Cricetulus griseus: one gene and its partner. The protein of the gene in region 1 interacts with the protein of each later gene in a biochemical or structural test. Links are inferred from orthologs where the notes say so. Each region holds a gene or a part of one and is shown on either strand. Other genes may lie near its edges.

Region 1 (15,973 bases):
TCTTTAATTGCTGTTGTTGTTAATACATGGTCATTTTTTCTTTAATTGTTGTTGTTTGTGGTGGTGGATTGTATGTGTGTATATTCCTAAATACATAATGCAGCCTGCTCAGTCTGTTATTTGTTTGTATGTTTCCAGAATTGATCATTTGGTATTGGATAACTAATTGGTGTGTTCTTCCTTGGGGAAGACTATTTCTCCTGCTCCAAGAATGCCTATATGTAGTTACCTGTATGTAGTCCTATGTCTAGGCTTAAGGCCTCCTGAGCTTCCTGAGATGCATGTTAACATTTTTTTTAGTGGGGCTGGAGAGATGGCTCAGCAATTAAGAGCACTGATTGCTCTTGCTCTTCCATAGGACCCAGGTTCAGTTCCCAGCACCCACATGGCAGCTCATAACCGTCTGTAACTCTAGTTCCAGGGTACCTGACATCCTCGTTTGGGCAAAACACCAATGTACATAAATTTAAAAAAAAAAAAGTCTGCTGGTGGTGTGTAATGATAAATCTTTCCACCAAGCCGCCGGAGCCCCACTGCCACATGGGCGACCAAAATAATACACAGAGACTTATATTAGGTACAGTGCTGCTGGCCAATGACTAGGATGTCTTAATCTATATATTTTATAAAGACTTATGTTAACGAGGATGCTGGTGGAATGTGTCCTTCCTGGGATCACATGGCAGCTCCACTCTACTACATTTCCCAGAATCCTCCTTGACTCCTAGTCCAACCTATCTTTCTGCCTCATTGGCCGAACAGTGCTTTATTCAACAACCAATAAGATAAACCTACACAGAAGGACCTCACCCATCAGTGGTGTTCTTTTTTATTGTATGACTTCAGATTTCTTTTTGGTATCTTTTCATTTCAGTCAGAAGGACTACCTTTCACATTTCTTAAAGCACAAGTTTATCAGTGATTAGTTAAGAATGTCTTAATTTCTTTATCTTTGAGGAACTGCTTGACATTTTTTCTAAAATCTGTATTCTTAATAATGTGGCTGCTTTTTTACCTAGTATTTTGACATTGTTTCCTTAAACATACAGAGCCAGAAGAAAATGGGGGCAGGAAATCTCCATTTTTATAGTTTTATACTGTATATTGGCATACTTTTTTAATACTTGGCCATTACAATTCTGTCTTGGACTTTACCTACTGTATTATTCGAAGTTGTAGATCAGCCAGTTTTTGTTTTTTTTTCCCCTAGCCTTTTCCTGCCATGATCATAGGTGTGACCATCTTGATTTCCTAGAACATATTTTTTCCCTGGATAGCCTTTCCTGTCATCTTCCTTCTCAGGCTTTTTGTCCCTTGTCTCAAGCTATTGTATCAAACAATGATTTTAAGTGAAATCTACTTAGGAAGACAACCTACCTCTGAAACGTTCTAGGTCTGGTGAACCCAAGACAAACTATTGTGCTGGTTTCTCAGGGGATCTGACAAACTAAAGCCTAGCAGTCACAATTCTTTAATGAGGTTTATAGGTAGCTGTTCTCAAAGCACTCTGACCTGGGGAATAGACTGGTAGGAAGGAAACTTAAAATGCCTCCAAATTCTCTATGTAAAGCAGCAGCTTTCTTCACTTAGCATTGCCCTAGTGCTTTGGTTTGCCAAATTCCAGGTTTTGCAAATGCTGGCAGTATTTGTCAGCTCATTGACTGTTTTTTAGAGGAAATAATAGAGTTCCTACTCTGCCATTTTTTTAATCAATGCCACCCCACCGTAGAGATTTTTCATAATGATAATCTCATTAGCCATAAGTAAGAAAATTAAGGATACAATTCATTTATAGGTATAGAAGACTTTTTTAAAAGAAGGGATCACATATTTGGATATGAGTATGGATTTGAGAAGTTGATTAAATCTGTATGTATCTAGCGACAGAACTCTAGTGCTTGGGTTCCAGACAGAGTAAGAGTTTAAATCTTCAAGTAAATCTGAAAAATCTATATGTCGTTTCTTTGAAGTAGAGAAGGCCAACTATGCCATCTTGGAAAAATATTTTCAACTAAGGACTTTCTAATTTATTTAGCAATTGCTTTGTCCTGTTCACTAATATATCGACTACTAAGCACTGGAGATTTAAGGGGAAAATTCTAGTTTTTCCCTTCTAAGGGAGCTGACTCTCATTAGGGAATACAAGTAAACAAGTTCAAGGCACTGTTATAACAAGGTTTACAGGGGACTAGAGACATAAAAGAATATGTAAATAGGCAAGGGGGAGGAACAAGATTTCCAGGGGTGTCATGAGCAAATATAAAGAGCATTGCCTGTGATCTTACTTGTCATATGAAAAGGCTAAGAATGTAATAATTTGGTGTTAAGTATGTAACACATACTTAGCAATTGTTTGTGGTGATCTGAATGAGAATGGCCACGAAAGGCTCATGTGTTTGAATACTTGGTCCCCATCTGGTGGAGCTCTTTGGGGAAGAGAGGGTGTGTCACTGGTGGAGAGCTTTGAGGTTTCAGAAGTCTGTGCCATTCCCAGTTATCTCTCCCTCCCTCATGGTTGAGTCTCAAGATGTGAGTTCTCAGTGTTCAACAGCCCAGCCTGCCTCCCCTGCCCGCATGGTGGTCATGGACTCTAACCCTCTGAAACTGTAAGCTGCAACTCTTTATAAGTTACTTTGGTCATGGTGCCTTATCACAGTAATAGGAAAATACCACTGCTTTTGCTAAAAATGCACTGGCTCAGGCTGGAGAGATGGCTCAGAGGTTAAGAACACTGGCTGCTCTTCCAGAGATCCTGAGTTTAATTCCCAGAAACCACATGGTGGCTCACAACCATCTGTAATGTGACCTGGTGCCCTCTGCTGGCCTGGGTAGAACACTGCATAACAAATAAATAAATAAGTAAGTAAGTAAATAAATAAATAAATAAATAAATATTTTGGGGAAATGCACTGGCTCCTTGTGCCCACAAGTAACTAAAATTTGCAAGATAAAACCTAGTATTTCTGCCTTCATTTTATATCTGCCTTTTTTCCCCCCTATGGGTTGTACTTCTTTTCAACTCTGAGTATAAGCATGTTAATCAAGGAGTGCCTGATTAAGGCTTAAGGCACAAAGATAAGAACTAAAAAGTTCTTTGGTGTTAACGTTTACAATATCCTGTTCCAGATTTCCCAAAAGGTGACTGGAAGTCTTTAGCCATTATCCTAAACCTACAGTCACCTTTTCTAAGAACAGTGAAGTCAAACAAATAATCAATCCTCTCCTTAGTGAACTTTACCCCTCAGCAGCAGTAATCTCATGAGAACTAGATTGGTTTTTTTTTCTGGCAATAAAGAGGCCCTGTCACAGATCCAACACTGGGATAATGACCATCCAAGCCTCAGATTTGATCAGTCATTGTGTACACCTCTCATCCTTTGCCCTAGTTAATTCCTAGTCAAACTTAAAGCTTATGTCAGTTCTCTAGACTGAGATATATGATGACTATCTCCCAGCATAGCCATTCAATTTGAAATTCTTCTCTGCTTTTCCATCATTCATTTTCTGTTTGATGTCTGGGGCTGCTGGTCCAATATAATTTGTTGCATCCCACCCCCAAATTAGGTTTCCAGTTACAGTTGTAACCAAGTAGTTTTTATATCATGATATATAGAGAAAAAGACTATAAGTACAAGTGTGGCTCAGCATGATTATAAGTGTATATTTTTAAAAGGGGGGGTGGTGCAAGCAAGATTTGAAGAAGCTGAAAAGTAGAAAGATAATTAAAAAATGATACAATTTTAAAAGAATAGCATGAGCTGTTCTGAGCCCAAGTACAGTCTCTGAAACTTGCACAGTAGGAGAAAATGAGCTCTCAGAAGTTGTTTCTGACTGTGAGCTAGGCTAAGTAAATATATGCAGAAATAAATGTAAAAAATACTAAAAGAATAGCAAAGTAAAATAATTTCATTTTGGTATTGAAGAGATTTGAGTGTTTTTAGATAATTGGTAAGTCTGTGTAAGACAGAAACAAGGGTAGTATGGAGTCTCTGAAGAGAAAAGATAGTTATTAAGAACCCTGAAGGATTAGAATTTGGGACCCTGGCTGAACAAAGAGTGAGAATAATAAGGTTGTTTTTGTTTTTAAGAATATAGAAAGAATCCAGGCCGTGGTGGCACACAGCTTTAATCCCAGCATTCTGGAGGCAGAGGCAGATGGATACCTGAGTTTGAGGCCAGCTTGGTCTATAGAGCAAGTTCCAGGATGTCCAGGGGTACACAAAGAAACCCTGTCTCCAAAACAAAAAGCATGTAGAAAGAAATTTGAACAGTTTTACATTGAAAGTCCCAGTTTTTCAAAGTAAAAAGCAAAACATGAGATAATGTGCTGAGAAATGATCAGTCCTTAAAATGCCTGATTGCACTTGAAGTGTGCATTAATGGTGATAGGTCCATTTTCTTAGTTCTTTCAGTAAAAACACACTAAACATTCTCTATGTACTAAGTACCCTTCAAGCTCCTTGGGATTTTATCTATGAGCAAAGTGAACAATCCTTGCCTTTTGGGAGGTTTTATGTGAATTGTGATGAAGGGAAACAAATGAGTAAATAATATTTTAAACAGATAATGTAGAGTGATCTGGTTTTGGAAACTAAGAAATTATCAAATGAGATTACCCAGATACAATTTTATATTGTGTATCAGTTACTAATTTCAGTAATTTTTTTTCATTTTTATATAGCTATTTACAAAATCTAGGTTAATAAACTAAGATGTCAAGTGTGGGATTACTGGAGTATTTGTTCTTAATTGTAGCTATGAGAGAAATAAACTATATTAATACTTAAGAGAAATTTCAACATGGCAACTTTACTACGTAGTGATTTCATGGGTTTGGCAGAAGAAAAGAGGAGATAAACTGTCACATGACTGAAGTTCATTTGGTTTGGCTTTGGAAAAAGAACTTGTATTTCATTTCCCAAAAGATGATTACATCATGTTAGTTTGTTTTCTACATTTAGAGGCTTGGGGTAAGTGTGCTGAGTTGAAGCTGTATTCTTACTGCTTTCTCTTTATTTAAACAGGCATTGGAAAAGTGAAAAGAAAACCTAGTGTTCCAGATACTGCATCTCCTGCTGATGATAGCTTTGTTGATCCGGGAGAGCGACTCTATGACCTCAACATGCCTGCTTTTGTGAAATTTAACTACATGGCTGAGAGAGAGGATGAACTGTCATTGATAAAAGGGACAAAGGTGATCGTCATGGAGAAATGCAGTGATGGGTGGTGGCGCGGCAGCTACAATGGACAAATTGGATGGTTTCCTTCAAACTATGTAACTGAAGAAGGTGACAGTCCTTTAGGTGACCATGTAGGTTCTCTGTCAGAGAAATTAGCAGCAGTTGTCAATAACCTAAATACAGGTCAAGTACTGCATGTGGTACAGGCTCTTTACCCGTTCAGCTCATCCAATGATGAAGAACTCAATTTTGAGAAAGGTGATGTAATGGATGTTATTGAAAAGCCGGAAAATGACCCAGAGTGGTGGAAATGCAGGAAAATCAATGGCATGGTTGGCCTGGTGCCAAAAAACTATGTTACCATTATGCAGAATAATCCATTAACCTCAGGTTTGGAACCATCGCCTCCACAGTGTGATTACATTAGGCCTTCACTCACTGGAAAGTTTGCTGGCAATCCTTGGTATTATGGCAAAGTCACCAGGCACCAGGCAGAAATGGCATTAAATGAAAGGGGACATGAAGGAGACTTCCTCATTCGTGATAGTGAATCTTCGGTAAGTTGGTTTTCAAAGGTAAATGGAAATAGAGCTCCAAGCATTTAAAAATAAGGTTGGAGAGGTTGAATAAGTGGCTTCCTTAAACCTAAGTGGTAAGCCGGGACATGATCATAGTGCTCTTTCCAGTGTACCTGTTTTGAATAAGCTGGCTAGCTGGAGCAGTGAATATGTTGTATTAATGGGCTTTCTTCAGTTGTATTGATTTTACATTTCTGGAATATTTTCTGTCCCATTAAACTGAAAAATGAGGAAAACTGAGCATTGGTTTCTTCCTTGAGAGTAGAAAAATGCAAGTTAAATTGCTACTACATGTAAAGTATAAGAATGCAATCATTGTAGTCCTACAGGAATTCTCTACTATAAAAAATAATTATGTGTCTTCATAAATTAGTTGTTTGATTAAAATTCCTTCCTCTCTCCCTCCCCTTCCTCTCTCCCTCAGTGCCTCACTATGTAGCCCTGGCTGCCCTGGAACTCACTGTGTAGAGCAGGCTAGTCTTGAACTCAGAAATCCACCTGCCTCTGCCCTTGCCAGTGCAGGGACTGAAGGTGTGTGACACCATACCTGACAATATGAACTTTTTATTCACCTCCACAACCTTTTTTTGTTTTTTTCACTGTATAGCTGTGGCTGTCCTGGAGCTTGATCTGTAGACCAGGCTGGCCTCTGAACTCAGATCCGTCTGCCTCTGCCTCCCAAGTGCTGAGATTAAAGGCATGTACTGCCATTGCCTGGCCTCAACAACCTATTTGACATCATGTGAAATGTATTTGCAATGAAAAGTAAATTATGTTACAGTACTAGCTAGACAATAAAAACATACAAATTGAAAAATGACATAGCCATTAGTCTCTTTTAAGTGTTACTTTATATGTTAAAATTTGATGGTTCTTGTTTTTCTTAAAAACTTTCTTTCCCTGATAAATGATATCACTATTCTTCTACTTACCAAATTGTGGTTAATACTGACTTTCTGTGAATGTATTGTATAAAAGGTTAAAGAAAATAGTATGTGTATGAGACTGAGATGATTGAACTTCCTGATATGAAATTAGGGAAAATGGTACCTTTAGCCTTTCAGAGACAGATGATTATTAATAGAGAAGTGGAGTCCATTTTCTGTTAAAATCCTGATATGTGGCACACCATTTAAAAGTCACAGACTGTTCAGAAGTATTAGGTTTAAAACAACATCTGCAACTACCACCACCTAATTAAGAAAGAAGGAAGCTTAAATACAGGATGTTATTTTTCATGTGGGTAGAGTATAAATACTAGCCAAAATATATGCTTATTTTTAATACTGTTGTTTTTCAGCTATAGACCTTAAATGTGTGTTTTTGTTTGGCCTGTGCAATTAAAAATCTTTCTAATCCATTGCAAACGACTTATAAAAATCCAGACTTTGGGGCTGAATAGATGGCTCGGCCGTTAAAAGTACTTGCTTTTCTTCCAGAGGACCCAAGTTCAGGACCCACACCATGTCAGGTAGCTTACAGCTACCTGCAGCTCCAGCTCTTAGTGTGATCTGATGCCTCCTTGTACATATAACCCACATGCGCAAAATTTAAAAAATAATAAAAACATCTTTTGAAACTGTAGGTTTCAGATTTCCCTTTAAAAGTTAAAGACCATGGTGGAAAGGTGGCTCAGTGATAAGGAGTACAGCTTGCTTTCTCAAAGGACCCAGTTTCATTCCCAGAACCCACATGGCAACTCAGACCACATAGGCACTGCTCACATGTGATCTACAGGTGCACATGCAAGCAAAACACCCATACACATAAATAAAGGACAAAGACCAGTCCACATGGCATCTATTCCTGCAAAGCAGCAATCACAGAAGAATAGTACGTCTTCTTTAGGCTGGCCATATCCTCATTCTTCTGTCTTGCTTACATTTCTCTTCTGGCATTTGAGGAATTTGTGTTTGTCACCATTTATTAAAGTTTAATTGAATTCTTATTTGTCCTTTACTTTTGAAAATTCAGAGCATTGTATCTAAGTCAGGTACTGTCCAACTCTGAATTGAAAGGGGATGGAGTGAAAGTCTGAAATTTTTCATTTTTTTCTCTCGTTGTAATGGATTTTCTGTGGGCCCTGTGGGTGTTAGGAGACTCTTGAATTCTGTCTAACCAGATATGTGATCCTAGACATGCTCTCTGAGGCTAATTTTCCTCATTTATAAAAAAGGGTTTCTTTTGAGGAATAAAGGAGATTATGTAAATAATTTAGCATAGTGTCTTAATGTTCAGATTTTAGCAGTTATGTTTTATTTTCAGTTCTGATACATGGCTTTCATAATGTTTGCCTCCCCCTCCCCCTTTCTCTTTTAGCCAAATGATTTCTCAGTATCACTAAAAGCACAAGGGAAAAACAAGCATTTTAAAGTCCAACTGAAAGAGACTGTTTACTGCATTGGGCAGCGGAAATTCAGCACCATGGAAGAACTTGTAGAACATTACAAAAAGGCACCAATCTTTACAAGTGAACAAGGAGAAAAACTATATCTCGTCAAACATTTGTCTTGATACTCATCAGCAGTGACTGCTACACAGCTTTAACTCGTCATGTAATTGAAGACTGATCGTGTTGGGCCAATTATACTTGTTTGGAAAGTGCTGGTTCTGAGAACTGACTGTAATACATGAGTATTTTTGTTATAACTCAACCCATACATATATCTGCATATGCAGTGCATCTATATAGAAGAGTTCTTTATTCTTAGTCTTCTATCTTACTGTCTTCTTTGCTTTTTTTTTTTCTCTTTCCTTCTAACAGTTCAAGTTTTGTATTCTGAAAAAGAATAATTTGGTTCAAAAATCTTTATATATGGAAGAGTTCTTTTATTGATGTTTCTTTATTTTCTTGTAAAGACCTCCTGTTCTCCCATAGTTCCTTTTCACATAAAATCCTATCTATATGGCATATGCTAAAGTACATTTCTTGTAAAGTGTTAATCTTTTCTGTGACTAAATAGCAATAATAAACAGGAAACTAGAAATTATTTCCAGATATTGTATCTGTCACAAGCCATTGTAAATATAAAGTATGTTATTTGTGCCTTCATTTTAAAATCCATTCATTGTATTCAAAAGGCCCTGGATATAGGTTAGAAAACATAATTTATGGCTATTTAAACAAAAATGTTAAGAATTAAAGGAGTATTGTTCAAGGGAACAAAGCAGTCCCTGACAGCTGTTGAAATGAAATGGACATTTCCAGTGTCCTTGACCAAAGTGTGTTATATTAGATAATGCCATATTTATGCCACTGTGAAGTAAGTCATGGCCAAGTTTGGGGAAACTAGTAGACAGTGAGATGTTATTTTTTATTTCTCTCTCTCTAAATATCAGTAATCCTACATGGCAGTAATTTAAAGTTTTCTCCTTTCAGCATCCTACCCTCTCCTCCAATATCTGAACAGATTTACTGGAGAACTGTGTTTTGACACTGTTGTATATTGAACCCAAGGTTTCACACATGATAAGTGGGTACTCTGCTGAGTGCCCCTCCTTATCTTTTAGTTTCTTTAACTGGAACAATTAAATGATGTGCTGTGGGGAAATGTGCTATAGTTAGGTAAACTGTATTATTTAATATTTTTACTTTTCATCTAGTACTTTGTGAATGTGAATGAGAGACTAAAGTATTCAATCTTTTGTTAGTCACATTTTTCCTCGTCATTCTGTAAATTTAAATTTAAGCAAAGTAACAAAAGCCCCTGATGCCATATAAGTACAAGAACATTGCTGTTCTTTGTGGTTTTTAGACACTACTGTACAAAAATTATAGCTGATAAAAATTAAAGTTGTGTAATTTCACTTTTTTCTTCATTGTAGTAGTTAAAATTTTTAAATATAAATCTTAAAATCACTTGGAGGCTGATGTTGCCACTGGGTGGCAGCCCTGGCGTCTCCCTCTAACTAGAAGTTAACAAATATAATTAAAGCACTTATGTATGAATTTCCATCTTTATAACACCTGCTTTCAAAGCTTTTTAATTTACATTTGTCTTTGAGTGCTCTTTTGTTTAGGGTAAATGGTATTAGATTAGCTTAATGTAAATAAATGTCATATATGCTTGACTTTGGGACTGTAAAATACTATGAATGCTAAGAAAAACAGTTTAAAAGTGGTTTGCAGAATGAGTAGGTAGTTAGCATTCTTAACAGTTGACACTTTATTTTTGCTTTCTCTTTTGTGTCTTCCTCCCCTCATGAAGCAAAATGGGCCTTTATAAAAAGCAGCAGTTAGGACTTTATCATGGATACAGCTGTTTCTGGAAACCCTCTACTCCACAGCCCATACTTTGTGAAGGTGGCTCTGGAGGAGTGTGGAGGTGGATGGAGTGCATGCATCCTGGAGTTCCTAGAAAATGGAGGTGCTCCAGTAGTTGTACTTTCTGTGAAACAAAACCTAACTCTCACTGTTTTACTTTGTGCTTCAACGTTTGATCAATTTTTTTAAAGTGTCTTAAACCATCTCTTCAATATTGTTAAGCATGAGTTTTACTTGAAGCAATTTTCTTAGAACATCCTTAGAAAATAGCTACATAGTTAGATCGTGACAAACTTGTATTAGAAACAACCCCAGCCTAGTGTCATCTGTGTCTTGACACCTCTCTGTGTGCTAGTTTTAGACTAGGAGGTGGGTCCTGGGGAAGGTACTATTACAGAAGTTTCATCTCTATATGAAGAGCTTTAGTTTAAGAAGAAATTTAGTTTCCCAAATTTAAATACATGTACCTATAATACCACCTGGCTCATGACTACAGAAATTGCTCTAAAGTCTTGGAAGAGATGCTTTGTTTTGTTTTGTTCTTAAACAACTTTATGTGTGAAAGCTTAGCCACAAAAGAAAAGCTATAAATGTTACATCTTCTTGGTCATAAATCTTAGGGGTGAGTTAAATATTCTCATAATGTGTATTGAATATAATCAGTATTCATGTTAACACATACATCTAAGACTATTAAAACTGTTTCACAAATAACACTAAGTAAAATAGAAAACACCCTACCCTGTCGTATAAGCCTATAATTCTGGCTGTTCAAGAGACTGAGGCAGGAGGATCATGAATTTAAGGCCTGCATGAGTAATTTATCAAGACACTGAAAAATGTAGAGCTGGGACTGTAGTTCTGTGGTAGAGCATGCATGAACCCTGGATGCTGTCCCCAGCACCACCAAACAAAAAAACCTGAGCATAGTGCCGGAATAAAAAGACCTAGCAATGAGCAACTTAGGTCATTAGGATATGCCTGCAAATACATGGCTTGTAAATTGTATCCAGCTCTAATGCTCTGCCATGTAATCTAGAGGTTGCAAAAATACGGTCTATGAGGGCATTCTGGGAATTAGGAACAGGTGTTGTCTCCTGGTGTACCCCATCCCTTTACTTGTCAAAAAGTGTAGAATTTTACCTGCTGCTGATGCCTTATTCGTGGGGCAGACAAATGTAGAAGTATTGTTCAACTTGTGTAGTATTCAACTTGACAGCACTTAAAACAGGAGATTGCAGATAGCCTTGTAATTTATGGTTTCCTTTAAAAATAAGCTGACAATGTGAGTTGAATTTCCGAGTTAATCATCAGCTGGAACCTAGTGTGGATGGTCCCATAATGTGCATGGTGAAAGACATTCAAACAGAATAATAAAGTCTCTCCCAACTCTTGCCCCATAATATATAGCCAAATTGATTTCCTATTTCTCCCTATTTTTCCTGTTGCTTGGAGAGTTTTTGGATTTGAATATGAAGTGGCCATTTTTTAGAAACTGTTCCCATGGCCAAATCAATTAATTAGGAATGTAGCATTGCAGCTCTTGCTTTTCCATTTTAATTCTGTATTACAAGAAAAAGAAACCTTTGTATAGCTCTCTTAACTGTGTTCAGGTCTTCACAACTTTGGACACTTCTTGAATTTTGTTCAACATTTTCTGAATCTCATCCAGGGGACTAAAAAACCAAATTTCTGATTCTGTTGCAAGGTAGACAGATATGAGGTAGATATGCTGGTTCGATGGTGTTCAGCAAGTTTGTGACTCAGCTCTGCTGTGTTCTGCTGTGTTCTAAACACTGCAGACAGCAAAACAAGCAGCACACACTTCACACCCCAGTTTCTTGCTGTTACATGTGTGTTTTTTTAGTTTACTTACAGGAGCCTCTTGATCTGGAAGTGCATGTGGTTTGCTGAGACTTGTTGAATAAAATAGGAAATGAACTGTGCTTGCTGAGGGAAAGAAAAGTTTCGATTGTCATTGGCTATATATACAGAATGGTTTTTAAACCAAATTAAGAATGTTTTTCTGGCCAGAACGCTTTGGTTGTATCAGTTTCAGAACTGGTTTGATGCCTTCAGTAGCTTAGCAGGGACAAGCTGGCTGATGTATTTATTTTTGTAGTGCTGGACAATGGAACAGCTGCCTCTTGCATGCTGGGAAAGTATTCAACCAACTGTGATTGTAAATGTTTCCACTCAGATTACATAAGCTTACAGCACAGGGAAAGCTGGTCTCACTGTTGGAAGTTTTATTTATTACTGCAAAGGTTTTCTCTCTCCTGTTGTACCCCATGGACCACTTAAACAGGAAAACAAAACATAGCATTTTGAAATAGTTATCTAGTATATAGGAAAAAAAGAAGATTGTTTTAAACCAACTTTTGGGTTCAGATATATCTTAATGAACCTGCAGTTATCTATCTTTGGAAAATTGTTGAGACAAAAAGATGGCCGGGTGTTGGTGGCCCACACCTTTAATCCCAGCAGAAGCAGGCGGATCTCTGTTGAGTTTGAGGCCAGTCTGATCTCCAGAGCGAGTGCCAAGATAGGCTCCAAAGCTACACAGAGAAATGCTGTCTCGGAAAAAAAAAAAAAGATGGATTCCAGAAAGGGGCTACCTGTTGTCTAAATATAGGCTAAACACAGGAACAGTTGGGATAGTTTTGAAAACTTACAGAAGAAATCAGGAACTCCTGAGTAAGCATGGCTTCTCTAGAGGAAATGGTGTCAAAACAAAGGTTCTATGTTTTCTAAACTGTAGATAAAGGGAATATTACAGAGAACAGATACCGATTTCATTGAGGCATAATCGCTTAGTTTCAAAATGAAAAGTTTAGTTTTGGATTGTTGATACTGTTGATCCTGCATATCCCTCAAAGCCATGCGTTAAATTCTTGGTTCCCATCTGGAGCCACTTTCTCAGAAGGTGGTGAAACCTTCAGGAGATGGGGCCTCCCCCTCTTTTTCTTCTGTTTCTCATCTAAAACAATCCTACCTTTAAGTTGATTATTTTGTTGCTCAAGCATGAGGCTGCTTTTACCCTGCATTACAATGAAAAAAAAATTAACAAGGCTTTGGTGAAATTTGCATTCTGGGGATGCAAAACCTAAATGGAGAGAGGAGTTGTGCATTGAAAGACAAGTGGGTGAAGCTGTAGCACATAGTTGTGGGTGTTAACAGGTGGAATGTCTGATAAAATTGGCTTATATGTCGTGGGCTCCACTTAGAGCCAACCAGTGATTGAAAAACAGTAGCCAAAATCATTAGAATATCATGTAGATACTCACTTTACAAAGCATGTTTCTGATTTCCAGAACTTTAAACTGGTATTTGTTTTATTCAGATATGGAACTTTTAACTTGTAGGGCAGTTCAGAATAAATCTCAATTCTCTGTCTTAATAGGAGTTATTGGGTAGTGTTACATAGAAACCAGGTATAACTACACAAAGGTGGCATTGTTACAGACTTAAAGGTTTTAACCCATTAGTTCCAAGAGGTTAATTTCTTGAAAACCATCAGATTTAAATGACTATGTTCCAAGGAGTTTTTAAAAAAATTTTTTTTTAATTTTATTTTTTTTGGATGTGTGTGGGTATTTTGCTTGCATTGTGCTCTTAGAGGGAGACCCAGGGCTTTGGCTCTCTGGAGGACTGGAGAAGGTTGTAAGTCAACATTGGCTAGAAGTTGAACCCAGATCCTCTGGAAGAGTAGCTGGTGCTGTTAACTGCTGAACCATTTCTCCAGCCTCTCAGCCGAAGCTTAAAAGTCAGACAAGACCTTGAAAACTGGAGTTTGGAAATTACAGCTGGAGGAAAGTTGTTGGAAACAGAAGAATCTAAAAGTGAATTTCACTGTTTTAAATTCTCTGTGTGACTTCCAGGAAAAAGAAATGAGAGCTAAATGGTATATGTGCACACAGGCATAAATAAATGGGAATCTTTGTGCAAGCAGGGTAAGTGAAGATTATAACAGAGTAAAGTAATTGACCGTTTGGCCTGTTCCTGGATTCTTTCAGTCTGATAAGTGAGTCTCGGATTGGGGGTGAAAAGAATGACCATCCAAGTTTTCTTTCTGCCTCACTTATCTTTACCTTTACACAAAGTTCTTGTTCTTTCTAACAAAATTACATCCCAAAGATTTTGGTAGCAAATGGGGAGAAATGCTATTTTTAAACTACCCACATACTCATCCATTCACCTGTTCATCTTCAGGCCTGAATGATCCTCCAATTCTGCAGAAAATCCCATAAATTCTGACAAAATGGCTGGGGATATTGCTCAGTTCGTAGAGTAGTGCCTATCATTCACAAGCCTCTGGGTTTGATTTTCATCGCCATATAAATCATGTTGATGTACACCAATCCCAGCACTTGTCGATGGAGGTAAGAGGATCAGGAAGTTAAAGTTCATCCATAAATTGGCCAAATAGTGAGTTTGAGTCCATTTGGCTCCTTGAGACCTTGGGTCAACAAAAAACAAACCTGCAGGCAAATGGATAAAGGACAGTTTGGTTTGGGCGTGTTGCATAGACAAGAAATCCCAACTGGTTGAAGAGATAGTATAGGAAAAGAATTGACAAAGCAGAAGAGAAACAAGCAAGAGCAGAGCTAGCAGTATCAGGTAATAGTTGAGCAAAGGAGGCATAGCCATCTAGAAGCTCTCACCTAGTCTAATGGCCCAGGCAGAGGCAGAGCATCTGAGTTTCTTACTGGGTGTTGACCCAGGTTATTGGTTTTTGTTGTATGGTTTTTGTGTTTTTTTTTTTTTTTTGGGGGGGGGGCTTTAAGATAGGGTTTCTCTGTGGCTTTGGAGGCTGTCCTGGAACTAGCTTTCAAACTCACAGAGATCCAACTGCCTCTGCCTCCCGAGTGCTGGGATTAAACATGTGTGCCATAAATACGTAAATTGTTTTATTCAAGTGTGGATGCTTTTTCTGCTTTTTTTTTTTTGTCTGTTTACTGCTCTTCTCAGCTTATTCAATAAACTTGCATTTTGAGGGTTACATTAACAATTGTACCTTGAAAGGTGCAGATCTTTGGAATGGAGTGGAAAGATAATGACCTGAAAAGGGCTCCACAGACCACATGCTGTCATCTCAGCTGCAGAGGATCAGGTTAGTGGGAAGAACCAGGAATAAACTTCTACAGTATCTATGCAACTGATACTATGATCCCCTCCTTTCTTGCTGGGAGAGGAGTCTTTTACTACAAAACTGCAGCAGCATTTGGTGTGTGGTCACTGAGGAGTGAGCCTCACTAATGCTAGGCAGGCATTCTGATGCCACCCAGTCAATACCCTCTCTTCTCTTTCCCCAAATTTAGGACTTGTAGGTGGTAGGAGAACTTTATTGTCCAGTTTATTTAAAAATTTTACACTGCTAGGAAGTGAACCTGGGCTCTTCTTGCATGTTCTAGGAAAGCCCTCCACCACTGAGCTACATCCCAGCATTTAAAAGAAAAAAAAATATCAAAGCCCTAATTAAAAAAACTGAAGTTCCAAGAACCAAATTTGAGAAAGATTAATTCAAAAGCTAGATTAGGCTAATGACATTACCTCTTACTGCCTCGTGGGTGTTTGCTGCCCAGGATTGAAACTCCTTGTAGCTGGGCTGGGTTGTCTTGGTATATAGACTCATGCCAGGCAGAACTAACCATTTTAAGACCCCATGGCTCAGTGGCAGACTGGCCCACAGCTCAGCTGTGTGAGGCTTACTCTTGATTGCATTTTGTCTGTTTACGTTTTCTTTTGTATCCTCTGATTCATTATGTATTCTCAATTTCTCAAATGTTCCATTTTTGGGCTTTGCTTAAGTTGTTCTATCTGGACTGCTGAATCATGAACTCATCTAACCCCTTCTGTTCAAACACAGATGGGTATATTCTTGAAATTCCATTCTGAGGCCCACTTCCTGCTTATTCTCTAAACCTTTGTTAATTTCATGAGTCACACCC
Region 2 (16,684 bases), on another chromosome or scaffold:
CCTTAACAAAAGCTCTATCCAGAAGGACAGCCAATCAGGGGTCAAAGCATGGTCCACCCCAGAGTTTCTTCAACACCTTTGTCAAATTGTCCACCCTAATTTAATCATCCATGTGATTGGGACAAATTTAGTGTGTGTCTCTGATTGATCTCAGGGAAGACTATTAGGATAATTTCAGTTCTCTGGAACAAACATTTTATGATCTAAACTAGTACCAACACCGCTGAGCTTGGGCATCCCTCCATAAAGAGAATGATCTCCAGAGTTCTACATCTGGACAAAATCTCATGGTTATGTGGTCCACTTCCTTGTTTAGTTTGGATTCCTTGGCCTCTTATTTTGGGCTAATCCCCTTCCATTTTGTTCACACAGCATTATGTACCTACACACAGCAAGTACTCAATAAGTGTTTGTGGACCCAGATGAATTTTTCTACAGCCTCCAAGTGATGACAGGAGGTATGGTACACCTCTTCTTGTGATATATAACTACATTTTTAATGTTTATATTTCTAATGGAGTTGCCCATGCCATATTATACTAAAACACTTATTTACTTTATAATCATAGGCTGAAAACCCACAAATGCCAGAACAATCTCTTCTTATTCAAAACAGTGCATCACTCACCCTTGGCTGCTCCTCTTGGACTTATGTCACAAGTCCCCTTGTGGATTTTGGCATGGTTGAAAAGAGTGCACTTTTTGTTTTATAAATAATCTCTCTTGGTTTATCTAATGGACAGAGGGCTTCCTTAAGAGTTGGGATAACTGTTCTTTGTTTCTGCCACAGGACTGTCAGCCTAGTAGACTCCCTTCCTTCCCTTTGCAATTCCTCATGCTGTGGTTACATCAAATATAACACATATGTCACATGTGCCCTTACATTTTCCCATGTGTACTTTAGCCCTTGAGGCCAGCTAGAATGACAGACCATAGCAGCTGAGCCTCACCCCATTGAGAGGCAAGGGAAAACTTAGGCAGATTCCATTAATAGCCCTGTGCCTGTGACTGTCACATCCCTCCCAGGAAGCACCAGCAATGCCCACTTCTGAGGTGTGACAAATACACACCACCTTTGCCAGTGTTGATGTCACACTCCCTTCAATCAAGGCAGCCATCTCCTCCTCTCAGGAAATGATGGCTGGGGCTCCTGTGCCAACCTGACATGTCCTTAACAGAGGTCACCAAGAGGTCGAGGCAAGGGGGAAATCAGAATTCTTCACACTTCAAACAGGAATTATGACCACTCTACCCTGAAGCCACCCTCTCCAGCTGGCCATTATCTACAGGAGAGACGTGCACTTAGTCAGAGTTTGTAAGCTCCAGAGCCAAAGGACAATATCCTCAGGGTCCAATTTATCTAGCCCAGACAGGTGTTTGCACATGTGTGTGTGCTCGTGCTCACGCTCTTGCAAAACCTGCATGGTTAAAAATGATCATTTCCCATCTTAAAGGAAATACAACAGGAAGTTTCTATCCTCTGTCAACAGTTTTATGCACATCCTCGTTACTGTCTATGCTTTGAAATTGGCTGCAGCTGTTGTTCTCATCTCCCTTCACATCTGTGTGACACCCGTTTTCTCTATCATCTGTCCAGAGCTTAGAGCTTTAAGGTGAGCTCCATCCTCAAGAGTGCACATTTTATGGCCAAGATCAAGCCATACACAAGTCTACAGCATTAGAATTGTCAGATTAGGCTCATGAGATCCCAGAGATATGAATGGTCTTGAGTGGTAAATACAATTGTCAATAATACTTTCTAAGAGCCTACAATGGAAATTGAGCATTTGGTCCACAGTTTTCCAGACTTTCTGTCCTCACCCAGTCCTTCCAGACACAAACCTGTTAAATGGGCCACACACCTCGGCTCTTCTTTTTCAGAGGGTTGACCGGGGTGGTCTGCATCATAGAGAGACAAAAGACATGTGAAAATTATGATGATGGGTGCCAACCACTATCTTGATTGGGACTCTAAATCCCACTATTTAAATATGTGATTTTCAGAGCATAGGGGGAAATATTCTAGTACAGACTTATCAAGAAATTCTAAACTGTGGGACTCATGAGAGTCTGTAATTCAAAAACAGTTTAAAAAGACAAGACAGGTAAATACAGATGAATACATAAATTATATTATGATAAAATAGCCATTTCATTTACTCCATTTAGAACTTGCCTTGACCCCTTTATTGTCCCAATTATAACTGGCAATAAGACATTAGTAACTGACTGACTTTAACGGTGGATGCAATGGGCACCTTGGGCTGACTGTAAATCCCTGGTCTGTACACCCTGATTCTGCTGACCTGTAGACTACTGATTCATCTCCTGGGCACCAATCTACAATCTATTTCCAAGGTGATAATATTAAGACCTCCTCATCTATCACGAGGTTGTCCACAATTTTACTCCATCATGTAGCCTTAGCCAGAGTTCCTCTACATGGTATCAGTCTTACTCCCTCTATTCCATCCCATCAAACACTTGCACACAGCATGGGTTCTATGAACTGATTATGCCCCCTTCTTCCCTGCTCCTGGGCTTTTGCTCATTCTGTCCAGAACGCCCTCCAAATGAGATCTCTGAGTTAAATTCCTGTCAATTATCTAGTGACCATCTTACACTCCTCTTCCTTTGGGAAACCCTTCCACACTTTTTGTCAAATATGGCCCTTCACCCTTCAAAGCCTAAGACCCTTCTGTCTTTGCCTCTCTTGATAGTTATGGCTCCTCCCTCCTAGGGCAACTATAAAAACTGCCTTTACTTCCTTCTTGTCCAGGAAAATAGCAGCTCTCTGGAATAATCACTTTATGATCTAAACTAGTACTAACATTGCTGGACTTTGGGATCCTGGCTACCAAGTCTTTCCCTAATGCCATTTTACTATATAGTTAAGTAACAAGAGCATTTAGCCTTGTTTAGCATAGTATCAGTAAATTAAATTGAAGTCATTAAAACTGACAATATCTTTTTGAATAAATGCTATTTCTCTGACTTCAAATACCTCAGTTAAGGTAAAAATATAGTACTGGGCTTCATGAATTCAGCTAACTAACACATTAAAAAAAACACTTATAGGAGGGTGCTTGTCCACCTTAGATTTGGGACTAGACTATAAAACACACACAGGGTGTGAAAATATACCTGTTTACTGAGAATATTATCTAAAGAATTGTGACCTCTCTAGCACCTAGAACAACCCTTCTTGAAGGAAGTGTGAGGGAAAGGATAGGCAAGACTGGACCTCTTACACACCACAAACCACCGGAGTAGATGACCTGGCATTCTGCCATGCACTAACAGGAAATGGAGCAGAGAACCACATGTTGCTTAGATTTATATTTCTCATAGAGCCTAGTACAATGCTATTCTCATAAAATATACTCTTATAAATGTCTGCTGGACAGGTCCTAGAAATATCTAGAAATATGAGGAAAGTCTTTTTCCTGCCCCAGGCTCTTTGCATGTGCAATGTGGAATGTCCTTCCTCCTCCATGACCCATACATCAACTCTTCTTTTTGAGAGGCTTCTGATAGCTTCCATGTGCATCAGCATAGACAACCCTATAAAGGATTTCCAGACCACTCTACTTTGGATCACTCTTAATACTATTTGGAATTGTATTGTTGACTTGTTTTTGTTCATCTTCTCCACTGTGTTATAAGATACATGAGAGCACTCCTCCATCTTTATCTCTCTCATTCTCAAACACCAACCAAGACTCAGCCTCAGCCACAGAAGGTTCTCTAGAAACCTTGTATATAAATAAAACATCCAATTAGTTAACCATGGAGAAGATAGAAGCATAAGAATTAATAGGCCTGATTAGATGGCTGGGGAGCTTGCTGCTAAGCCTGAGGACTGAATTTGATCTCTCAAACCCACTGGTAAAAGGAGAGAACCAATCCCCACAAGTTGTTTCCTGACCTCCACACACAAGCTGTGGCAATACATATGCACATGTGTATGTAAACACGCAATAAGATTATTAAATTGTTTGAAAAAGTATTTTAAATGGAAGAAAGAAATCTATGATAACTATAGTGTCTTCCAGAAAAAAAACAATCACTTTCTATATTCATTTGTTTTTTTCTTAGAAGTTAAAAACATGCATACATATTTCATAATGAGTATTAAACTAAAAAGAGCCTTTGATAACTTGACTATTTACCTAACAATGTAAAGTGCACAATATTTATGACATTAAAAGTCCTAGGTGGTTCTACTAGATGTTTTTGTGCCATTCATAATGGTGTATTATTCATGTGCCACAGTGTATTCAACTCATCTCCTATTCTGAAGGTTAGGTTTCTTCCAAATTGTTTTATAAGAAACTGATGAATAGGACTGGAGAGATGGCTCAGAGGTTAAGAGCACTGGCTGCTCTTCCAGAGGTCCTAAGTTCAATTCCCAGCACCCACATGGCAGTTCACAACTGTCTGTAGCTCCAATTCCAGGGGATCCGGCACCCTCACATAGACATGCATGCAAAACACCAATGGATATAAAATATAAATAAATAAATCTTTTTTAAAAAATAAAAAGCCAGGTGGTGGTGGTTCACACCTTAAAGAAGGAAAGAAGGAAGGAGGGAGGAGGGAGGGAAGGAAAGAAAGGAAAGAGAGAAAAAAGAGAGAAAGAGATGAACACTATATATGTAAATTATTTTATCTATCTCCAACTATTTTCCTAAGAGAATCTTTTAGTGTTGAGATTACAAAGCAGACTAACAGTTCAAGCCCTTGGAATGAACTTTCCTATGTTCTTCATGGTACTTACAACAATTTCCATGCATGCTGGAGGAAACTTGTGCCAGATATGACCTTTTTTTCTCACACATATTTGTAATTTGTTTTCTTATTTTTGTGAATTTGAAGGAAGAAATAAATACCCCTTTCCTTAAGTCAGCCCCTCTTAATAGCAAAGTGATAATTTTAACTTTCTTGTGACAGTTTATCAGTTTCTGGCCATCTACATTGATATAAAGAAGATAACTACTGGGGTAGGTAGACCTGACTCATTTGTCCACTTGACTTTTATTCACAAAAATGACTCCATGGAGTGGGTGACAGGGAGTGATTAACACCTATACACAAGCCTCGTTCCACTGATTTTCAAAGTGATTTTACTTTAAAAACCCTGAGAGGTTTCACTTTTCTAGCAAGTTATTTCCACTGTCCCTGTGTAATCTGGGCTTTCTGGTGCTTAGAGACTTGAACACTGAGCTGAAAACCAGAGCACACCATGGTGGCCCTTACAAGAGCTTATATTCTCAGGCAGGAGCTGACTGCTCACTTTCTGAGTATGGAGCCCACTCTCCTTAATGGATGGCCACTGTTGTCTGTTGCCTTTCAACTTTCTTCAAAGTTTGTAGGATAAAACTGCCCTGTTGCTTTTGCAAAGGCAACTGCTTTGCATCATTTCAGGGCCATTATTGAGAGGTGGGAGTTTCTCTGTGAATCAGAAACAAGGCATAAGGGGACTGTTTTCCTGTACCCAGCTTCATACCAGAAGACATGGGCATTGAACCTAATTGGTATAGTATTTTGTATCTCTCCTGGAAAATGGAAAATAGATCACTTTCTCCCTAAGTTCCTTTCCAATTCAAAAGAAATATAAAGCTTTGTGAACATGAGTCCAAGACATATAAAAACAGATCCTCATATCTCTGTTCAATCCCTAAAAACCATGCCCTGAGATTTTATGTTCAAACTGATCATCTTCCTCTTAGCCTGGATCTAGTGTGTGTGTGTGTGTGTGTGTGTGTGTGTGTGTGTGTGTGTGTGTGTATGTGTGTGGTGTTTTTATCATCAAACTCATCAAAGGCATCTTAAGTCCTCTGTGGGGAAGGTGTACAGTCCTGTGGACAATGGCTAAAGTCTTCCCAAAATACCTAACAATTTCAGAAGAAAACATTAAGGAAAACAATGGGTTTACTTAAAATTTATTTAAAATATCTTACAAGATATTTTAAAAATACATCTTCATTCTTGAGTAGTCACTTTTAGTTTAAAAGGAGGAGAGGACATCTCCAGAAACATTTGTGTCTGCCTCTACTCCCTTTCTGTCTTGAGGAGTCACAGCCACCCATGTGAGATGGGACCAAGATACCCAGGGAAGGGGCAAAAGGAAAAGTCCAGGGCTGTTTGTATGTCTCCTTCAAAAGTCAAGCCCAAGTTCATTTGAGTTATATGCAGTGTTCATTCAGATACATGGCTATTGAGCAATAAACTTCATCCAATTTTTTTTGTAGTTCACGGAACCGGACTGAATGCAGAGTCTAAGTTCCCCAGGATCTTGCAAAGGAATTGTAAGCCTAAGAAAGGGGAGACTCCCAGGCATCCTTCCAACTCTGTTCAGTGTTGAGGACCACTTTGGGGAATTCAAAAGACATACATAAAAGTACTTACATATTTGCTTTTCAAAAGATGATACTTTAAGGCTTTGGTTGGTGAGCTGATAAAAGAGAAAGATTCATACAATAAATGTGGAGCTATTTAAGCCAAGCTGTCAGAAAAATCCCATCAGTCCCTAGAAAAAGAACTCAGATACTTCAGATCCTGGCCCAACTTAGATGTGAGCCACACAATGGTATCTGGAGTAGTACTAAGAATTCCAAATCTTTTCAAACAGATTTAGTCTATACTTCCAATCAAGATCCAAAATTGATTTTTTTCCTTGAATCACTAAATATGAAGCTATAAGAAGTTTATGGCATTCTTGACAACGGAGAAAGGAATAATTATTTGCCTCAGATCTCTAAATGATGGAAAATATTCCCCTTGACCAGTGGTTGTCAACCTTCCTAATGCTGTGAACTTTTAATACAGTTCCTCATGTTGTGGTGATCCCCAGCCATAAAATTATTTCATTGTTACTTGATAGTGCAATTTTGATAGTGTTATGAACAATAATGCAAATATCTAATATCCAGGAAAACCCTGTGAAAGAGTCATTCAACTACCCGGAGGGGTCGTGACCATATGGCCCACATGTTGAGAACCACTGTCTTTGAGGGAGTGAGCATGTCTCTCCAACTGTGGAATAGAAATACTATACCAACCCTTTCCTAAAACGCAGGGGATTAAAATTATCTTTACCGTTAAAACAAACAAACAAAAAACGCAAATCATTGCAAGCAATACAGTGGCCCACATGCAGCAGAGTCATGTTGCACCCAGGGACTTGGGGCCTTATTGATCCCTATGCCAGGCTTACCTCACGGAGTTCTGCCAGTTCCTTCTGCAGATGGAAGAGCTGATACATTCCTAACCCCAGTCCAACCAAAGCCGCCACAACCATGAAAAATATCACCGGTAGCCATTGATCTATGCTGTGGTCCTTCCTCTTCTTCAGAGGTGGCATTGGCGGCAGTGGGGGTGGTGGTGATGGTGGTGGTTGTGACGGAGGTGGTATCGGTGGTGGAGGAGGTGGTGGTCTCCTTTGGTCCGGCCTTCCAGGCACAGAGGATGGACAGGGAAAAACTGACCCTGGAGGAGCCCAAGAAGAAGTGGCACTGTTGTCCACCCAATAAATTTGGGGACATCCATAATTCACAGGCTGTTGCATGACACCCTGCCCTGGGAAAGGGTTTTCTTCTCTCAATCTTGCAGAGACTCTTGAAATGTGGAGAACAGGACTCCTGACGCTGACTGTTCCAGAGAAGATAAGTGAGTGCGTTCTCTTTTATAAAGTTTCCACAGTCAAGGGAAACACCCCTCTCTCTTTGCTTCTCTGTGAGACACCCACTCACTTTGCATCTGAAGCTCAAAAGCCTCAAAAAGCTCTCAGCGACCCCAGGAAGTTTCCGCCCACAAATTTCTGACGAAAGTCTTCGAAATGCAATTGGCGTTTCTATGCTGCCTGAGGTGGCTGAGAAGTGCCTGAGGTCCGGATTCTCCTTGAGAACATGAGCTGTTCTCTAGCTGCAAGAAATGAACTGTGTGGCATTTTGGAGCTGATGCTCAGAGGAAAAACCATGGAGTTCGGCTACAGAAGCTATCTCCACATCTTAGCTTTTGCATGGGGAATTTAATCCCCTGTTGCTGTTCCTTCCCTCAACCGAGTACTACCTACCACCATAGCCTTGCAGGTCACCATCATTTCATAGTTCAGAAGGTAAAACCTGCCTCACCCATTCCCACAGATTAGATCAGAGGTTGCAAACCACGGGCCCATGTGTCTTGTAGTACCACAAAGACTGCTTTCCTATCAGCAGTGTCTTTTCTTCCATTAATTGCTCACTTTCAAACTACATACCTCTATTCTCTTTGAAAACAGTGGAATATTAGGCATCCCTGGCCATCTCTGAACGCCAGTTGGCTGCCACCAGGAATGTGCCTCAGGTGGTCCACGCTGCCCCACTGTGCCTCCTATCCCACTTCCCCTGAGAAGTGGCTTTCCAAGCCTCTGTAATCATCTATCATTGCAATCCCTGTTATGGTCACCAGATGAAACTTCAGGTGCCCAATTCAGAAGAGACTGGGATAAACAACAAATAATTTTTATGGCATATGGGCTTTAACCGTCACACAGAACATGCTAAAACTTTATTCAGCAATTACAGCAAAATCAGCTATATATCTTATGACTTTCTAAAACTGCCTGCCCTGCCTGGGTTGACTTCACTCTGGCCACACACACAGCATTATGTCTAATAAGTTCTAAGAACTCAGCCTCTGTTTCCAGCGTTTTCCCATATAAGCCATATAAATTCCAGAAATTCCTATATTCTGTCTTTCGGGGCAAGCTCTATGTCTTAAATATTCATAGTTTTTGTCTCATATTTGGGGATTTTTGAGATGATCACCTGACTTTCTCCTTTATGCCAAACCTATACCTAAAGTGTCATTATCCTGCTGCTGTCACCCTGTCTCACCCCAGCTGCAAATCCAACCTCTTTCTCTGCTGGCAATCTCATGATTCCAGTCATCCATGCCTGCCTTATTTTTTTTTCACCTCACTCACTATTCCCATGACTGTTGGCCCTGGTTGGTCTCTCCTTGCTTTCCTACCTGAGACTCCCAGTGTTCTTTGATAATCGTCATTCTGTCCTTCCATGTCTCTCTTTGCCCTTCTTCTTTTAATTCATTTTTTTTTTTTTGATAGAGGAATCAGAAGCCAGGTCTTCCTAACCCCTACTGCCCTCCAATCACAGGGAGAGGAGAGGAGTCCCTTGATGAAAGAGACAAGAGAACTTCAGGAAACTGGTTTGGAATTTGGTGGTTCAATCCAGCATTCCCCCAGGCAAGATGGAGAAAGAAGAAACACCTCTGTGAACAGTCACAAGACCCATCACATTGGTACCAAAGCCTTATTTTTTTGGGGGGGTGGTTTTTGAGACAGGGTTTCTCTGTGTAGCTTTGGAGCCTATCCTAGCACTTGTTCTGGAGACCAGGCTGGCCTCGAACTCACAGAGATCTGCTTGCCTCTGCCTCCCGAGTGCTGGGATTAAAGGTGTGCGCCACCAACACCCGGCGGGTACCAAAGCCTTATTAATGAAAAGAAATCGTCATTTGAAGTAGAACTTAGCACTGTGGCTGCTGAAGGAAAAACTAATCAAGAACCGCCAGGCTGGAACCTCAAGCTGATTGACTTCTCTCAGTCTCCTACTGTTACTATCCCAGGGAATCTGCAGGAAAGTTGACTCAGTAGACTACAGACCAGAGCTCTGGAGGTGACTCAGCAGGGGGATGCACAGTCAGAAAACCTGCTGTTACTTTTTTTAACTAGCCCAGAGAAACCCTCCAAGGCAATCTGCCAAGTAGACAGGAAGATTGCAAATGTAAGCAAAGACCATAGTACACTCCAAGTTTGAGTTTATTTGTGAGCGTGAGCCTACTAGGTCAAGTTCTCTAAGTATTTCCAGGATGCTCATTTGGCAGCTCAATCCCCTGACACCACCAGCAGTTACAAGGACCATCCTAGCCTGGGCTTTGCTCTCTGCTCTGTAGCATCCACCTTTATAATTTTTGCCAAGCATATTATGCCTATGAAGATAATCTCACCATCTACTACTTGCCTTCTCTCTGGTTCCTTATGAGTTTGAACATCAGCTGTATATTTGTTGGGCAATCCATTTTCTTGTTATGTGCATATTCTGTTTGCCAATTAAAAGTTGTTTATCTCCTCCATCTGATTTGCAGGATTTTCTTATACTTTATGGATATTTTAGATGTAAAGCCATGGCTGCTTTCAGATATTGCAAATGTCTTCTCCCAAATGCATGCAGATTGCACATTTGGGTTTTAATACACACTTTTGCTTATGAGTCAGGAGTCTATATTTTTGTCTATGTGTTTATGTGACAAAAAGAGAAATCTATTTAAAAGACAAAGTTTGATTTGGCTCATGGTTGGGAGCCATGCTGCACAGTTTCAGACCAGTATATGAGTGCTTGTCCATATGGGGTCTCCAGATGAGGCAAAAGCCCACCGGGACAGTTGCACTCAGCAAGGACTGGTGGAGTTTTGGACAGTGCAGAATTCTGCTGAGACCACGTGGCCTGAACACTCTCTTCTCATACAATGATTGATGATTCTTTTGGTGGTTTTAGTGTCATTTTGTCAATCATGCATTTGACAGATGTGAACATTCCTAGAAAACCCATTTTTTTCTTGAGTATCTTCCCCTAAAATTCTCAAGTTTGGGGATGCCAGCTGTCACTTCACATCCCAGGAGCTATCCTAATTCGGTGCTGATAGGATCAGAGGTAGGTTACCCCTATTTCAGTAAATATGCTTATATCACCCCTATTTCTGTAAATATGCTTTGAACGGGATTGTTGATCTTGAAAATGTGTGCCTATGTCAATCACCTTTTAGTTTTGTAAAGGCCGGATATACTTGGCTGGATATTTGGCGAAGCTAACAAAATGATAAGTGTTGTTTTGGTTTAAAGATGTTTTGATGTAAAAGCTGGGAGAAAACATATTTCTTTTTGCTGGAGCTGGAGGATGGGAAAAGCTTGTTTGTTAGTATGGAAAAACATGCTTTTTTATGTATAAAGATGGTTGGAGTTACATGGACAGGCCACTTGTGTAAAATTCTCCCGGCTGCCAGACATTTCATTTCTTCATGCCAACGCCCCTTTCCCATCTCAAGACCTGAGCCAGCTGCGACTGGATCAAGGCAGTTCATGACTTCAGTGTGTTCAGTAGATGGGTAGCAGGGGTGAACGTCATGGCAGGGAGCTTGTTGTATAACAAAGCTGATCATCTCATGGTGGCCAACCAGCACAGGGCTTGCTTTTTATAACAAAGCTCTTCCCCATGGTTATTCAGTTCATGAGATCAGAATTGTAATGATCAAATCACCTGGCCCCTAGAGGGCCCCTTGCATTTTAGATCAAGCCTCCAAATACATGAGCCCTGAGAAGACATTTCAGATTCAAACCAGGGGCTGGAAAGATGGCTCAGAAGTTAAGAGCACTTCCCAGCCCCTATGTTAGGCACCCCACAACTACCTGCAACTCGACAGGATCCAGTGTCCTCTTCTGGCCTCAGGTACCTGCACTTACATGTACACACCCACATATGAGGCACACATGCTTACACACAATTAAAAGTTATAGAAGTGTTAAAAATGCAAATCTTGTACAGTTTCCTCAACTCAAGCCATCTTTTTTTCTACTGAATCACAGTGGCATAGTTATCACAGTTTCCACTGATGATTGATCCATCTTAGAGTTCTCAGTTTTGTTTGGTCTATCTATCTATCCTGGTAAGAAAATAACATAGTCCTCTTAGTCATAGCATTGTAGATATGTTTTTTTTTTCTTTATAGAGACAAGCAGATTTCCAGTGTGGTATGTACCCAGGCTGGCCTCCTACTGGCAGTTCTCCTACCTCCTTTTCTTAAATTATGGAATTACAGAGGTTCACCAACATGCCCACCAACTTTGTAAAGGTCTTAAATGTATTGGCACTTGTTTAGGCAAAATTTCTTTCCTCTTTGTTCTTTTTAAGAAATTGCATGAGGGTAGGAGAGAGGGTGCTGCCACAATAAGAGCACAAGAAGAGGAGGAGAGGAGAAGAAATGGAGGAGCAGAGATATTGAGTAGAGGGAAGAATAGAGAAGAGAGAGCAGGATGAGAGATACCATATTAGAGGGAGCCACTATATGTCTGAAGAGATCTGGAACCAGGGAGATCTCCAGAGACCTACAAGGATGACATGATCTGACAATCCAGGCAATGGAAGAGAGGGTAACCTAAAAGCCCTTCCCCTAAAATGAGATTGATGACTACTCTTTATGCCATCCTAGGGCCCTCATCCAGTGGCTGATGGAAGCAGAGACAGATATCCACAGATATACACTGAGCTGAAATCTGGAATTTAGTTGAAGAGAGGGAGGAATGAAGATCGAATGGGTCTGTACCAGGTTGGAGAAACCCACAGAAACAGTTGACCTGAACAAGGGAAAGCATATCGACCCCAGATGCTTTCTGGGAGACCAGTACAAGACTGATCCAGCCCCCTGAACATGGATGTCAATAAGGAGGCCTCTGCACTCCAGGGAGCCTCTGGAAGTAGATTAGCATTTTTCCCTGGTGTAAGAAGGGACTTTGAGAGCCCATCCCACGTGAAGGGTTACACTCTGGCCCTGGACACATGGGGAAGGGCCCAGGCCCAGCACAGGAAGATTTGGTGGACTTTGCAGAGCCCCTGTTGAAGGCCCTACCCTGCCTGGGGAGTGGTGGGTGAATGGGGTGGGGGGGGTAGGTTGGGGGTGAAGGAGAGATGGAGGTGAGGGGAGGGAGAGGGAGAAGGGACTTACAATGTGAAACAAGCCTGTTCCCTAACTTGAATTAATAAAAAAAAAAAGAAATTTAACAATCATTTGTATATTTAATCTTCCACATATGTTAGCAGAAAAAAAAAAAACTGTCCTATTTGGAAAATGTCCTTCAGGCTTGTAACTGTAATTGAAATAATCTGAGCCTCCTAGTCCACAAAGTGAATTCCGGGACAACCAGGGATACACAGAGAAACCCTGTAGTATCATTACCATTGTTAAAAGTACATGAGGTGATCCTACAGAAATTAGTATATTTTCTTCATGGGTGAGTCAGAGAAACAAGATAATCCTGGTGATGAAAACAGGATTCATTCATGATAAGTGCATCATTTCTGAATGATACGCATTCTTTCTGTTACATGTTTGGTGTGTGGCCCCTCTTTATTCCCATCATTCTTGATCCAATTGGTTCAAGAAAATTTACTGGACAAAGATTACTGTTTATTGCAATCTAATAGGTAAATGTCTAGACCTTGCCTGTACCTTAAATTTGATATACTTAGTGTTCAAGAGAAAAAGATTTGATATGTCTTTTTCTAATGTGAAAGGGAAAGCTATCAAGGGTAACTTGTTTCTTATTACACTGGACCAAAGGACTGAAGGGGGCTTTCAAGAGCTTATGATGACAGTAGCAATGGGTGGAATTTACTCTTCAGCCTTTATACCACATGCAACAGTTTTGTTGTGATCTCAGAACTATTTGCTTTCCTTCTGCAGCCCATGGATATCAGTCAGGACTGGTCAGAAAAATGGAAGTTACTCTAAGTATGAAGAGCAATGAAAGACTTAATATAACAAAAGGCTGGGTTTTAAAAAAAGTTATCAAGGGCAATTAAAAACCTTTAAAGGATTGAGGTCTTGTTACAACCAAAAATTCCAGTTTCTAACAGTGCTTAGATTGGTGATGCTTAGGTGGCCACCTAAAGACCACAGGAAAATGCCCTATGGCCTCTGCTATATTCACCTGTCCTTCAGGAACTACTGTGTAGGCTGGAGCTTCTCCTTTTTGTCTTCTAACCCTCACTTGGTTGTCATTTATCAATGGACTCTAGCTAGGGGATCCTACCTGTAATGGAGAATAGGAATAATCTCGAGGCTTTAACTTCCTGATGGCAGGGTGAGGGAGGGGTGAGGGGGTTAGAGTAGAAGGATGGAGATGGTCCTGAGCATTAGCAAATTGTTTATTGTGCTTTGTGTCTACTTATTCACCATAACTGAATTCATAGGTAGATCCTGGCTGATGAGTGAAGGCAAGAGAGTTTCCGGTCAGGAACAGGACCCCTTGATAAAAAATGAGATTCTTCTGCCCTCTCAGCCAAGAATACTAATGCTCCATGAGCCTAGGGCACTGTAGGTGTTAGGAGTCAGTTAGCAGGTGGCTTTATTCTTGGAGTACAATGACACCGAATCTCCCTTTTTTTCCACTAAGGTGGGTCACATGATTCTTGAAATTGCTACTTCTGTAATTTGAATATGATCTTGTCACTGTACCATTTCAAATAGCACATCAGTGGCTTCCCATTGATCTTAGGATAAAATTTAAACTCGATTTATTTCAACGACTTTACTTCCAAGGCCGTGAAGTATCTAGGCTGTAGTCACAACACAAGTTGACAGTTGCCCTGAAATTATAGCCAAGAGAGGGTCTAATGTGAGAACAATCATAAGAATATTCAAGACTAGTTCTTAAGCAGTGTCGCCAAGTGCCTAATGGTGAAGAGTCTGGTATAGAGTAGTAAGGAAACGAGACAGGGTGTGAGGCACACCTCACAAATATCTATTAAGACTGGAAAAGTGTGGGTCTTGTGGGCACCTGTTTTTGAGACAGTGCCTCATGTACCCCCAGGCTGGCCTCAAACTCACTATGTATGTAGCTAACAATAACTCTGAACTTCCAGTCCTCTTAGATCCACAGCCTAAGTGCTGGGAATGGCAAACCTGGGCCACCACACTTGCCTATCTTGACAGGTCTTTTATGGGACTCTTTTTGATGTTTGAACTTCTTCATTACAAAACCACTTGTCAGAGTTGGTTTGTGGGAAAGCAGACTCACCAAAGGCTGACTTAAATGTCAAGGTCGTTGCTTTTGTCACCCACTGTTTCCTCTGAGTACTTTGCAGATATTGGGGAGGGCATGCAGCTGGATGCTTTGAGAGCTTCCCCACCTTAGTGGAATCTCATGATAAATAACTTTTAAGCACACAATCTGTCTGTCACACATTGACTTACTGTCTGTCAGGGACCTTGGAAGAATAGGGAAATTAGAGTCTCTTGCAGTGGCTATTTTATTGCTCTCCCTGGAGCCCAGTTTGAAAATCATCCACACTACTGCTGCTTTAGACAAAAAAGGGACTTGGGGACATCAGCAATAGAAACATACTTCCTCCCAGTTAGGAAGGCCAGAAGTCCAAGGTCAGATGACCACAGCAGGTGGGTTCTGAGGCCCCTCTTCTCGCCTTGCCCCTTATTTCACAAAGATAAACACTGAGCTTCAGAGACATGAGAATATCCCCAAGATTTCAAGATCCCACAGACAGAAAGAATCAGGAAAAAAAACATGGCCTGTCTCCTGGTGCCTTTCCACAAAACCAGAGATGTCTGTAGACGAAAATACAACAGTTGCTCTGTTTAAGCCCATTCTCATGTGCGTTCAGTATCTGGTATACTCAAGGCACCATGAAGGGTGCAAGGACAAAACAGAGGTCATAGCACCAGGATCTCAAAGACACTCAGAGTGGCTCATGTTCCTATGGTTATTCGAGAGGGTAACTCTTGACTTCTGAACATTGTGATTTTCGTGATGAAATAAGAACTCAATGTTCTTTTGAGATAGATGGAGAGAAAGTGTGGAAAGATGTAGTTATTTAGTGCCTACTACACACTGAGCAAGGTTCTAAGAACAATACACACCGACTTTATTTGAGTCTCAAGGAGTCTTCTTAGATAAGTATTATTATCCCCACTTTGCAAACGACTCAGAGAAGTTAAAGAACTCACAAAATAGTTGAACTTGAATATGAATTCGGATCTTTCTAGCAGACCTCATTGTACCATTAACTTCATCTTCTGGCACCTGCCTCTTCTCACCTGCAGCTTCTCATACCCTCTCAGGATGCCCTTCCAAAGTAAGGTTCCCCAAACATTGCTTACCTTTCTTATTGTTAACCAAATACTTGACCAGGAGTCACTTAAGGGAAGAAGACTTTTGGTTTCCTTTGTTTGGCTTTGGCTTACAGTTCACTATAGTCCATCCTGGCAGGGACGGCATGGTAGTGGCTGGTCACATTACATCTGCAGTCAGAAAAGCACAAAAAGTGGGGCAAGCCTCTGAACGCTCTGCCCCCACCAAACCACCTCCTCCAGCATATTCCATTCAGAGGCTCTTCAGTTTCACACACCAAGTAACTGGAAATCTCTATTTTCTAAACTCAAGCATCTTCATGGGGGATGTTTCAAGGTGTGAATTTTAGAATCTGTCATCTCTTACAGTCTGGTTTGTAGGAAATCTGCAACAAGATCTTACTGACATCACTTCTCAACCTTTGGCTGAGGTCACTACTGCCCTGTTCCAACTCTATGGGTAGAGTTAGAACCAGATTTTGAAGGCAGCTCCAATAGTCTGAGTTACTTGAGGCCTGGAAGAAATACAGCTTCCATCACTGGGCCCTACTGTCATAATCATCAAGAAATGACACGCAAAGAATGAGCTCCCCTGAGCAGTCACTGTCCCAAACATTCCAACTACCAGATAAGTCATGCTTTGCCAAGGTTCAAGACAAAGAACTATACAAAAGGTCTCTGAGATCCCTCTTATCTCCAAAGACTATGGTTCCAAGTTGAGGAAGATGATGAGTAGAAGATGGTGTGGATGGAAGGAAAAGAGGTA

Evidence for each region.
Region 2: the proteins of Nck1 (region 1) and Faslg form a complex in vitro, tested with the Homo sapiens proteins (2 studies listed by BioGRID and IntAct, with this or other methods). The link is inferred for Cricetulus griseus from reciprocal best matches to the Homo sapiens genes NCK1 and FASLG.

What each region holds. Positions count from the first base shown.
Region 1 is NC_048597.1:208,824,034-208,840,006, reverse strand, and holds the end of Nck1 (cytoplasmic protein NCK1), read left to right. Parts: intron 1-5,024; coding exon 5,025-5,737; intron 5,738-8,077; coding exon 8,078-8,272; 3' UTR 8,273-9,707; downstream 9,708-15,973. UniProt on the Homo sapiens protein: Adapter protein which associates with tyrosine-phosphorylated growth factor receptors, such as KDR and PDGFRB, or their cellular substrates. Maintains low levels of EIF2S1 phosphorylation by promoting its dephosphorylation by PP1.
Region 2 is NC_048598.1:30,330,098-30,346,781, reverse strand, and holds the start of Faslg (tumor necrosis factor ligand superfamily member 6), read right to left. Parts: upstream 7,571-16,684; coding exon 7,220-7,570; intron 6,458-7,219; coding exon 6,412-6,457; intron 1,900-6,411; coding exon 1,843-1,899; intron 1-1,842. UniProt on the Homo sapiens protein: Cytokine that binds to TNFRSF6/FAS, a receptor that transduces the apoptotic signal into cells. Involved in cytotoxic T-cell-mediated apoptosis, natural killer cell-mediated apoptosis and in T-cell development.